Linked DNA regions of Arabidopsis thaliana. The protein of the gene in region 1 purifies or fractionates together with the protein of each later gene. This does not show direct contact. Each region holds a gene or a part of one and is shown in the gene's direction. Other genes may lie near its edges.

Evidence for each region.
Region 2: the proteins of PDF2 (region 1) and PFD6 fractionate together in Arabidopsis thaliana (co-fractionation; one large-scale study listed by BioGRID). This does not show direct contact.
Region 3: the proteins of PDF2 (region 1) and PFD1 fractionate together in Arabidopsis thaliana (co-fractionation; one large-scale study listed by BioGRID). This does not show direct contact.

What each region holds. Positions count from the first base shown.
Region 1 is NC_003074.8:7,965,972-7,970,282, forward strand, and holds PDF2 (prefoldin 2), read left to right. Parts: upstream 1-2,017; 5' UTR 2,018-2,247; intron 2,248-2,606; exon of another isoform or gene 2,607-2,847; intron 2,848-3,095; 5' UTR 3,096-3,108; coding exon 3,109-3,555; 3' UTR 3,556-3,734; downstream 3,735-4,311. Other genes in the region: AT3G22470 (Pentatricopeptide repeat (PPR) superfamily protein), read right to left, coding at 95-1,954; AT3G22490 (Seed maturation protein), read right to left, coding at 3,814-3,978, 4,068-4,311.
Region 2 is NC_003070.9:10,505,503-10,509,662, forward strand, and holds PFD6 (prefoldin 6), read left to right. Parts: upstream 1-2,030; 5' UTR 2,031-2,163; coding exon 2,164-2,239; intron 2,240-2,333; coding exon 2,334-2,404; intron 2,405-2,523; coding exon 2,524-2,648; intron 2,649-2,885; coding exon 2,886-2,946; intron 2,947-3,262; coding exon 3,263-3,319; 3' UTR 3,320-3,649; downstream 3,650-4,160. Other genes in the region: AT1G29980 (choice-of-anchor C domain protein, putative (Protein of unknown function, DUF642)), read right to left, coding at 378-492; MNS3 (alpha-mannosidase 3), read right to left, coding at 4,030-4,160. UniProt on the Arabidopsis thaliana protein: Binds specifically to cytosolic chaperonin (c-CPN) and transfers target proteins to it. Binds to nascent polypeptide chain and promotes folding in an environment in which there are many competing pathways for nonnative proteins.
Region 3 is NC_003071.7:3,043,641-3,047,464, forward strand, and holds PFD1 (PREFOLDIN 1), read left to right. Parts: upstream 1-1,882; 5' UTR 1,883-2,003; coding exon 2,004-2,027; intron 2,028-2,136; coding exon 2,137-2,190; intron 2,191-2,401; coding exon 2,402-2,507; coding exon of another isoform or gene 2,508-2,511; intron 2,512-2,586; coding exon 2,587-2,593; intron 2,594-2,673; coding exon 2,674-2,758; intron 2,759-2,855; coding exon 2,856-2,966; 3' UTR 2,967-3,264; downstream 3,265-3,824. UniProt on the Arabidopsis thaliana protein: Binds specifically to cytosolic chaperonin (c-CPN) and transfers target proteins to it. Binds to nascent polypeptide chain and promotes folding in an environment in which there are many competing pathways for nonnative proteins.

The sequences.
Region 1 (4,311 bases):
TTTATAAATAGCCCCAAGCTTGGTACAATATTTTAGTGATTTGGAATTACAAACAAAAATATTTTCTTTATCTCTTGTAGATCAGATTAGACAATCAAGAAAGCATATCCAAAAAGCTTTTATCCAATCTACGATCTGATAACATATCAATAACCATCTTTATGGTGGAAGAATCTGCAGAGAACCCACACACCTTCATTTCTTCTATGAGTTCAACTGAAGAGATTAGACCACTACCTCCAAGATGTGCCCTGATAAGAATGTTGTACGTAAAATCATCCGGAGTACACCCATCCTCCTTCATTTTTCTAAACAGCATATCGGCTTCAGACAACGAGCCTTTCTTACATAGTCCTCCAATCATTACATTGTATGTCACGACATCAGGTTTCACTCCTTTGTCAGAGAGGCTACAGAATAAACTCCAAGCATCATCGACCTTACTAGCATTGCACATCCCGTGAATGATGATATTATAGATACCAATACCAAGAGTCATCCTACTCTTCTGCATTTTCTCAAATATCTCCAATGCTTTATTTAGTTCACCATTGTCACACAAACCATCCAGCAAAATACCATAAGTTACAACACTTGGTGGCACACCACGAGAAACCATCTCTTGGAAGAGTTCTTTGGCGGCGTTAAGTTTTCCCGATTGACAAAACCCTAGGACAAGAGTGTTATAAGTGATTGTATTAGGAATCAATCCTTTCGAAGAAATCTCACGAAAAAGTCTCATACCATCATCAACTCTCTTAGCTTTGCAGTAGCTATTTATGAGAATACTATAAGTCACGATGTCAGGTTCGCACCCTTTGCTAACCATCAGATCAAACATCTGATTAGCCTCATGTAAGCAATTCTCCTTACAAAACCCATCAATTAATGAATTATATGTAATGGTGTCAGGAGCTATACCTCTTGTGATCATCTCATTGTACAACTCTTTAGCCTCTAGAAGCTTCCCCTCTTTCACAAAAACATCAATCAAAGCACTAAATGTGACAACATCGGGAATGATATTCCTTCCAATCATCTCCCTCAACATCTTTGCACCATCATCCCATTTACCGTCGTTACAAAGACCTCCTATAAGAGAACTATACGTAACAACATCAGCTTTAATCCCTTTCATCTCCATCTCATTGAAAAGGCTAAGCGCATCGTCAAAGCTCCCATCTTTACAAAGACTATCAATAACAATACTATACTGAACAACACTAGCTTTGATATTTCTTTCTTCCATCTTTCTAAACAAATCCAAAGCCAAAGCAGAGTTCCCTGACTTACACAGTCTATTCAAAACCGGTCCATAAGTAACCTCATCAGGTTGAAAACCATACTCAACCATCCTATCAATCAAAACCAAAGCTTCAGACACTCTACCCTTTAGACAAAGTCCATTGATCAGAGTGCTAACGGTTACAAGATCCGGTCTTTGCTTCATTTCCACCATCCGATCAACTAACGCAACCGCTTCAGAAACTCTACCCTCGAGGCAAAACCCGTTAACCAAAGTCGAAAACGTGATTGTATCAGGCTCATACCCAAGCTTCCAAGCTCTCCCAAGAACAGAAAATGCGAAAAGAAGTTTCTTTTTTCTACAATAGCAATTGATCATAATGGTCATAGTATACATGTCATGCTCAATCCCATTCAACTCCATTCCCTTGCAGAAACCTAACACTAAATCATACTGTTTCGTTCTAGCAACAGCACTACACAATCTATTGAAATCGATTGGAGTAGGTAAAGGACGAGATTGAATCATGGATTCGAAGAGATCAATAGCATCATTAACCTTAATATCAACAATCCCATTCCTTAATCTCTCTTTATAAGAAAGCTTCGCTTCGGTGATACTAGAATAGTGTAATAAAGAAGTACCTTTCTCAAGAATCTGAGTAAAGTTCGAAGCTTTTCGATTTAGAGGAATCAATCTCTGTATCATCTTCTTCAATGAATGAATCGTTGGTCCTTTGTGCTGTGTGAGAGAGAAGAGAAGAAGAAGGAAATGAAAATTCCGGTTTTGATTCATTCATATATTTAAACCCGGTTCAATGTTTTGATTTAAAAATCAAAGCGGTTTTAATTGGGAAAGGTACGAGTTAAACCCAACCTTGTTTCTTCATCTTCCTCACTCTCTGCGCCGCGTTTGCTTCCATCGTTCTCTCGATTGTTTCCTCTCAAGCGAAGCTTCTTCTTCTTCGATCTTCTTCCTCGTGTGTGGATTCGTTTCTGAAAGTAAGTATTTTTGTTAGTTGTTGATTTTTTTTTGTGGTTCAAATGGTCTTAAGATTTGTGTCGATATCGATCTCGGAGTAAACAGAATCTAGCTCTGGAATCGTAGAAATTTTCACTGAGACTTCTTAGATCCCAATCAAGCTTCGTTAATGTTAGAAAATTAGCTTAGATCATGGAATATATGTGTTGAGAGTTGATATAAGTAGACGTTGAAACCCTAGTTTGGAGAAATAGCCCTGATTGTTGAAAAGGATGTTAAATTGGTTGTTGTTATCGTTTCTATGTTTGAGTCTCTGTTGCCATAGTTTGAGATTGGAGTATTATGTAGGAGATGATACACTGTTAGTGAACTCATATACGTCTACTTTGTGGAATGTTCTGTGTTGGTTGCTTCTACTTGTATAAGTGTATTTGATGCTATGAGACTGATGGATTCTGAAGGATAAGCTATGTCATTGGTTTAGATGTGGCTGTTGTAGTATTTAGATCTATTTGATGGAAAAGGGCGTGATTGTTCGTGACAAGATAGTGATGGAATGATTGTAGGATTGATCTTGATCTGGTAAAAGCCTTATGCTTCACCATGTTTTGTATTTTATAACTTCTGAGAGAATAATGAATTAAGTATGAATCATTCTTGAGGTAAGATAGTTCTCTGCATTGGTTAAGTGATTAGTATTCTTTCCAATGTGCTTGGAATTGTTTTGTAACAATTGTGTTTTTCGGTTCGTAGTTGTGTCAGATGCAAATGTTTCTCTGAGTGTTGTTGTTTGAGTTTCTTTATTGATTTACTCTCATTTTTTGCTTCAACTATGCAATTCGTGATTTCTTGGATCTAATTTCTGTAGTAGGATCGAAGTAATGGCCAGCAAATCTGGAAGCGGTGGCCTAAGAGAACCGCCGAATGAGCAAGCTGTTTTGAACATGTATGAAGGCAAGAGATCAGAGCTAAGCCAAATCTACTCCAACATAACCGACCTCGAGATGCAAGTGAGCGAACATTCTCTGGTCATTAACGCCATTCAGCCTCTCGACCAATCGAGGAAATGCTTCCGCATGATAGGAGGCGTTCTTGTCGAAAGAACCATCAAAGAGGTACTACCAGCTGTCCAACGTAACAAGGACGGACTTGAAGAGGTTGTGAGGAAGCTATACGAGACATTGGAGAAAAAGAAGAAAGATCTTACAGAGTTTGAAGCTAAGTATAAGATCAGGATAACGAAACAAGAAGATAACAAGGAAGGAGGTAACAAGAAGGAAGGTAATGCTCAAGGTGTTCTTGTTGGAGCTGCCAGTTCAAGCCAGTAAAACTCTATATTTGGCAGTTTGTTTTACTGTTGTATCTCTTTTTTGGATCTTATGGTTAAAAGCCGTAAACTTTGCTGGAAAAAATCAACATGTTTTGAATGTCACAAAACTAGTAGACTGGAGAAATGCCATATTTATGTAGATCCGTTGTGCTAGAGAAAGATTTCAACTTTATAACCGGAAAGTGACCATTTTTTTACATTATGACTGAACTTTTTTGAACAACAGAACCAAAACATCTCCCTCTCGCAGGATTTTTCATATATCAGCTCTCTCGTTAAGCCTAGCGGCGGCAGTAATAGAAGCCGCTACACCACCAGGGTGAGTAGACAAATTAGGATTGTTCCTCAGCTCAGCGCTCACCACTCCCTCTGCGTCCTGCCTGGTCACAGCTTTATCTGCGGCTAACTTCCCGGTCGCACCCTAATAAGCCATCCGGTTCAAACACATTTAGACAATCTTAAAACTAAAACATTAAGACATTGAAGATGTTTTTAAAATTGGGGTTTAACCGCCAAAACATCAATGAGCTTGATTTTATCCTCATCACGGTCTATGGTAGCGTTGTGATTTGCTGCTGATTGAGCAGAAGCGGCGATTCCACCAGGAGCAATCACATTAGTGCCACAAGCTCTAACCTCTGCCGCTTGAATCGCTGCTGCGTCGCTTTGATCCACCGGTTTGTTTCCAGCGGTTTGCACAGTCGCTTCCAATGCTTCTCCAATCGTTATTGCACTTTGTAAACTCAAACCCACA
Region 2 (4,160 bases), on another chromosome or scaffold:
ACTATGAGATAACCTTAACTAGATTAGCATTACTGGTTCGATTAACACTGTTTACTTACTTAAACTAGACATTAACATAACAGATTTCTAATCTTTAGTAAAGAAGAAAACTCAACTTAAAAATCTTAGCAACAGTGAAGTGAAATTGAGGAAAACCCCCAAAAATCTAAACACTCAAAATCCAGATAAAAACTAAATCAATCATCTGAAACTAAATTATTTTGGTCCTCTGTTCTTGAAACAGAGATGGGTTGGATTCAAGAAACCAAATCTTGATAACACAAGATTCTTATTTAAATGGCATTTTTGAGAAAAACCAATCACGCAGAGACCAGAAAAGAACAAAGAAATTTGATGAAGGTAAGTGAAAAGCGTACCATCCTCAACCGCCGGAGACTTGTCGTCAGCGACGGCGACTAAGACGGCAACGGAGACACTGAGCAGAAACAAGAAAATGGAACTCCATTTGCATCTATTGTTGCTCGGAACCATATCTCTCCTCTACTTCTTCTTCGTCTTCCTCAAGATATCTAAATGCTCTCTTTATCTCTCTTCTCTCTCTCTGTAAGTGTGAAATGTGAAAGTGTCTTTCTGTATGTTCTTTTCGGGCAGCGAGCAAAGACAGGGAAGGTTAGTGTCCTTTTATCCAAGATTCCTCACTCCTTGTCTTTTTTTTTCTTCTTTTTTTTTAACTCTCAACATTTAATTTCCACTATATTTAAAGCTCTTTACAGACAAAACTCCATGCACGCATAACAAAAAAAAAGTAAAAGAAATGTTTCTACTGTAACATAGTATTTAATTGTTCTAATTAGTAGAGCCACGATGGAATAAGTTTTAGTATTGACCTAGGTTCTCTCTTTTTTTTTCCCTCTCATTGGATCTGTGCTAGATGCGAGACTAAAGTGGCAACTTTACTTTTGATCCAACTCTATTTCTTTTAGGCTGTGGAGTGAATTATTAGTTTGACAACAACAAAAATGTCTTTGTAAAATCTTCGGCTTTTCACTATTATAGATTTGAAAAAATGTTGTTTAATACGTGAACTTTCAAAATTGGCCATTTAATACGTGAACTTTATATATGGCAAATTAATACATACAAAAATCGTTGACTGACAATTTTACATAAACTTAATCGTTGATCAAGCCAAAATCTACACGACGTTATCTGACATTAACAGACCGATAACAGTCGTTAACTAATCTTCGTTAGTTTCTAATACGACGTTGTTTCGAGTATCGCGAAAACGGAAAATGCCATTTAATACTCCAATTTTCAAATTGTGGTCATTTTATATATCAACTTCACATGTGGCCATTTTATATATGAACTAAACGTTGACCAATAGTTTAAAATATGAGAATGCGTTGATTAGACCAAAAAGACATACCGCTATCTAGACCTAGATATTCAGATTTTTGTTTGGATTCGGTTTGGATTTATTCAAATACCTAGGCCTAGATAGCGGTATGTCTCTTTGGCCTGGTTAACACATTCTCATTTTTTAAACTGTTGGTCAACGTTTAGTTCATGTATAAAATGGCCATATGTGAAGTTGATGTATAAAATGACCATAATTTGAAAGTTGGAGTATTAAATGGCATTTTTCCCGTTTTTGCGATAATCGAAATGACGTCGTATTGGAAACTAACAGAGATTAGTTAACGGCTGTTATCGGTCTGTTAATGTCAGATAACGTCGTGTAGATTTTGGCCTGATCAACGATTAAGTTTGTGTAAAATGGCCAGTCAACGATTTTTGTATGTATTAATTTACCATATATAAAGTTCACGTATTAAATGACCATTTTTTTAAAGTTCACGTATTAAACGACATTTTTCCCGTTATAGATTGAGGTATAAAGGGACGAAAAGTAAAAATTTGTGTTTATGAGAGTTATGTTCAGTGTTGATATGATCAGTGAACTAGAAGATATTACGTCACCAAGTGATAAATAGTGTTTTTCTTTTGTATGTAACTAAAACTAGGCTTGATAATAGAAGAAAAGCATATTGGGCCGTTAAAAAGTCCAAGTTAATACGGTTTTGGGCCTTACTAAAACACGGGGGCTTTAACGGAGTTTTGTTACTGCTCCTTGGTGGATCTGCGAGTTTTCAATAAACCACCGGAGTGAGGAAGAAGCAGACGACGACGACGAAGATGAGTTCATCGACTGTTCGTGATTTGCAGAGAGACCTAGAAAACAAGGCTAATGATCTCGGCAAAATCCAGAAAGGCAAGTTTCGTAGATTCTCGTAACTTTTCTCGATTTGATTCTTTTCTTGTTTCTGGAGGCGGGAAACCCTACTTTTCTGTGTTCATATTTTCAGATATCGGGAAGAATCATCAGCTGAGAAAGAAGTATACGATCCAACTCGGTGAGAATGAGCTCGTGCTTAAGGTATATGTTCATGTCTCACTGTTTAATCTGAGTTTTGTGGCTACTTCAACTGAAAAGAGAAGTTTATTTCGATTGTTGATTGGCTTTAATCTTTTTATGTGTCTGTCTTGTATCTACAGGAGTTAGATTTGCTGGAAGAAGATGCTAACGTCTACAAATTGATTGGTCCGGTGTTAGTGAAGCAGGATTTGGCTGAAGCTAATGCAAATGTTCGTAAACGAATTGAGTACATCTCTGCTGAATTGTGAGTTTCTTTTCTTTTAATGTGATTGAAGCAAATGCAGTTCGTTGAGAAACCTATTTTGGGATTGTTATTGTAAATAAAGAACCTTTCTTTCTTTCTAGGCTAATAGTGAGTGATTGCTGTTCATAAGTAGCTAAAATGTTTTCACTTCTAGCTATGTAACAACTATGAGAGATGTTGATAAAGTGTTTGAGCTATAGTGTTGTGACCTCAAGAATATTGTTGTATCCTTTGCAGGAAACGGCTTGATGCAATTCTTCAAGATATGGAAGAAAAACAAAACAACAAGAGAGAAACGGTAAGACATCTGCCTCTCATGCATTTATATACTTCTTTGAGTGCATTGAATTAGTGATACTAGGACTGCTACACCAATAATAGTCCAAACATTGATGCTCAGTATACTAAGCTCTAAAAAGATACTTTGGTAGCTATTGTTGTCAGTTTAAGCCTGCCCGGAAAGTAAATACTTGAACTTTGTTATCTCCTCTGTCTCGTTGAGTGGCCTACTGGCCTTGGCGCAATATGAGGATTTGCTGTTTCTGCACTTTCTTGGCTTTTAAATGGTGATAATGATCCTATGGTTTCAATTTATGGAATCAAAATATTTGCAGATAATGAAGTTACAACAAAGGCTACAAACTATCCAGGCAGGAAAAGCAAAGGCTTGATTGAGCTACTCAGTTGCAACCACACTTGTTAAACCCTTTCCACTGTGCTCGGCCTTGTCTCAATGGTGTCATATTCAGTTACTGAGGGTTCTTGTGGTTTCAGTTTATTGGGTGATTGATGTCTCTTTGTGTCACTAATCTTTTTTTGTTGACAACTAGACTTAAGTGTGTAACTTATACATGATCTTGTCGCCCTTTATGAAGTTATGAGTTTGGAGATTTACAAAAAAATATTGTGTGTGTGCGCCTAATTTGGTCTTCATACATACTTCAAGTCGATTATGTTCTATGCAACACCTTGCAGATTACAAAGAGCTAAGATGACCAAATGATCTCAAATTTAAAGGTTTATTAGTCATATCAGAATGATCTTATCTTGCAGTGTAAATGGTATGTATAAAAAACTAAAACCATAATTCATCTCCATGTCAATTGTGTCTGATTACATTTTGCCAAGTGAGAGCTTAACGAAAAGAGAGAATATTAGTCTCAAGAAACCTACTACTACAAGCAAAAACTTTTACGAGTTAAGTTATAATTTGGATGCAGAAGCTTATCTTACATTGAAAGTTATGACTTTTTTTCCTCAACGAACTAACTTCTTCTCCAATTGGCAGTGTACTATACATCACTTTCTCCATACCCTCTCTTAAGTTTGTGTATGTGTGTGTGTGTGTGTATTGTCTGGAGTAGTCTTCAAAACTAAGCCTTCAGGTGTTTCTTCTTATTGGTAATGGATGAGCTTCAGTGTTGAAAACAAACTTATCCAATGGTATCACTGAGTCATCTCCAAAGAGCAAGTATAAGTACTTCAATGTTTCACCAAGGAAAAATGTCTCCA
Region 3 (3,824 bases), on another chromosome or scaffold:
ACCCGCCAATCACATTTCTCATCGGCACAGTTTAAAACAAATGAATCAAGTTTTGTGCGTGTTTGTTTGAAGTGAAACATATGCCTAATAGCATATATAGCTAATCCAATTTGGCAATCCGACTTGCTAGCATAAACTTTTCCTTTATATACATCTTCACCGTCAGCCCTATCTATATCCGGCATTATGGCAGCTTCATACTCCGTGTCATCAAACAGAGGAGGAATATCAAACTCTTCATCGTCCACATCCGACAGCTTCCTATTTTCTCTTGCAGTTTCATTTGTATTACAATCACCTGTTCTATTGTTAACAACTTTTCCCGTTCCACTGCTGTTTGCAAGTAAATCAGTTGGATGCTTAATCGAAGACGTTATCAAATCATCAATTTCCATGTTCGAACCTGCACCTTCCACACTGGCCACCAATTCTGTGTCTACTGTTGGTGACGCAAATCCCATTCTAACATCAGCATCTTCTTCCCCGACACATATTATATCCAATGCATTTGAGCCACCCATGTCCTCATCCAAGAATGGGCTCCAAAACTCCACATCATAAGATTGGGGTTTTACTTCTATAATCTCATCCCAAGTAAGATCTTCGCTTCCTTCATCCACTAGATCTTCATCATCAAGATCTTCAGATAAAATTTCACTAACAAGAGGACCTCGTTCACAACCTATAACTCTTTCTATAGTTTCAAGTTCTGCAACAAATTCTTCATCTTCGGAGGACAGCAAAAATTCTTTCAACCCGACCTTCGATATACTATCTTCTGATCCACATAAACGTTTCGACTTATTCCCTCTTCCGTCATCTTCCTTAACTGAACTGGTCTTCACTAGCCCACCGTCAACCTCAGAATTGTTTAAAACTCTTTTACAAGATGTTCCAAACTTTACAAACATGTTGGTTCCAACATTTGCTTCCAATATCTTCATAAAATAACTTAGCCCCACATCAGTCGTCACGACGACCGGTGGTGTTTTATCTCCGGTGGTAAAATCTCTTATATTTGGGGTACAGAAGCTTAAATCAACCTTCGTACTCGTTGAAATTCCAAATTCTACTCTAATGGCTTCCACGAATTCTGATAGCTTAATACCTTTATATACAGGCACAATTCGAGATTTCATTACCTTATTAACCTCAACATACCACTTCTCATCCTCCTCGCAATTCCAATCCCCGCATATTACATAACAGAAGCCATCCTCAGTTCCCTGCAATATATAAATTTTTTATCTTAGACAGTCAATAATATATCAGCGAATATTTTCTACTATTGTTACCAATCCATTTTTTCTTACCATCGTTATGATATCTTTGTTAGTTGCTTCAAACTTCAGAGCTTCTCTTTCTTTTGTTCATCGTCATTCAAACTTCGATGACATAGTTATTCGTTCCATGCTTTCTCCGGTTTGCAAAAACAAAATAAACCGGTTTCCCCAAACTCTTACCCTAAATAACCGATTTTACTTGATTTAATTAATAGGGTCAATTAAGTCTTTTTCCCCCTTATAATTGATCACCCTTATAATTGATCAGAAGTGTGCCTGTCGGCAAAACTTTTGCTCAACATGTTTTCGAAAGTGTATGATAATGCAAATCACCCTTAAAATATAATATGGTAAAATAATTTGGTGGTGTTAGCTGAATTGGTTACGATACAAACAATGGTTTGGGTGGTTGATTATACAAGAAAAAAAAGACAATGACTTTGAGTCTTTGATTTACAAAATCATGGTACAATCTAAAACCAAATGGGTAAATTAAATTGTGTTATTGGGTAGAATTGTTTGTTCCAATGCAAACACATATTTTTTTAAAAGTATAAAATCATCGTTAATTATAAATGGGCCGATTTGACCCAATAAAGCCTTGATAAACCGGGCTAAGCCGTCTGAAACCCGACCCGGGTAGTTCTAACTTTTTGACCCTAAAACGAAAGACCCTTCTCTAGCACGTCGGGGTTCGTTCAAAGATCAAGATCTGCAGACATGGCGGACGAAGCAACCAGAGCTGTGAGTACCTCTCTCTCTCTTAAATCAGCTCAATTTTCTAGTGGAATATTCTTCTTTCCCCAGTAAGATGTTGCAGAAAATGGAATTGTAATGTGTATAGTTACAACAGGCTTTTATGGAGATTCAAGCTAGCATGATTGAACTCACTGGGAAGCTCAAACAGGTGAATCCTCACTTTCTTTGTATTTATCAAGTTTTAGAATCAAACGTGACACATTGTATAAGGGTTTACTTGTAATTTGTTAGTTCTTGAACTGTGTTTGGTTTTATAATCCCTTCTTTCATGTTGTGTAATGACAAAATTGGCTTTCCTAGGTTATTGTCATGTGGTGCTGAAAAACTGAAATGTGAATGTGGATGGGTTTTATATATAGGTGCAGAATCAGATGCGCAACAAAGAGGGAGATAGAAAGCGAGCTTTCTTAACCTTGGAGGAGCTGAGGCCATTGCCTGAAGAGACAAACACCTACAAGTCAATAGGCAAGTGATTCAATTCTCTGGTTTTGAGACAAGGACTAGTAAAGTTTTGGTCTAATTTGTGTTTTATTCTTGTTTTCAGGAAGAACGTGAGTGGTGGTTATTAGTCAGTCCAACTAGAGGCCTTTAGAGAATTTTGAAGGCTGATTATAGTTTGTATGGTGAACAGGTTTGTTCTAGAGCCCAAGACAGTGCTGGAGGGTGAACAAGAGCAAAAACTCAAGGACAGTGAAGCTGCCGTTGCTTCTCTACAGGTAACAATCATTCCCTCTTTCAACATCTTATTGGGTTATTAGGAGATCATTGAGATGCTGGTTATCAAACATGTTTTGTTTTCGGGATGATTTTTAGACATCCAAGGAATACTTGGAGAAGCAGGTAGCAGAGGTTGAGAACAACTTGAGGGAGCTGTTGCAGCAAGAACCGGGCATTGCTCAACAGATTATGTCCATGTCTATGTAACTTTTGTATTATCCCAAACCTTTGAGTTTGGAGAGCTTTTGGGATTGAAACCATAACATGTTCTAGTTAAAAGTTGTAACATTCAAAAGTTTTTGTTCGATCAGTATTGTTTTAAAGCCTCTGGTCTATGATATTGCAAAAAACTGAGATTTCTTATGCGACAACAAATGCATGATCTATCTAACTCGAAAACAAAAATTTTAACAAGGATGAGGTCTCTCTATGATTCTTCGGAGAGAAAACTCAATCCTTGTTCCACCGTTCGGTATGCTTACCGGCTTTCGTTGTCCGGATGAGAAGACTTTGTTTCCGGTGTGGTCTGGCTCTGTTTTCGGTGTGATTCGGCTCATATTTCGGGTATTTGTTGCTAAAATGGAATTCGCTTTGTTTCTTGAGGGAAGATTAGGATAAGTCGATTGAATAATTTTCCGGCGATCTTGGCCGGAATTGAAGCTTTCTGATCAACGGAGACTCTCACATCTTCAACTTTGCATGTGTCTTCTAACCTGCTTCCTGCTTGCCACATGTCTAATATAATGCATTTAAGCTTTTCCTTCAGCTTTCTTATTGGACTTTGTTTTCTTTTGTTTGGCTTCCTTGGTTTAGTGTTTGTAAAATATTGGCATGTTACTTTGGCTTTCTATACTAAATAAAACACACTTTTGACAAAAAAAAAAAAAAAAAAAGACTACAACTCGAGATTGCATCTAACATTGTGAATATATATAAATTTAACCTCACAATCTAAACACAAGTAGATGTAATATATATTATGAATTCAGTGAAACAATAGTTAAAACTCAAGTTGATCAATCATCAATAGCATGTGAGCAATAAGTGTCAAAAGAGATACACATA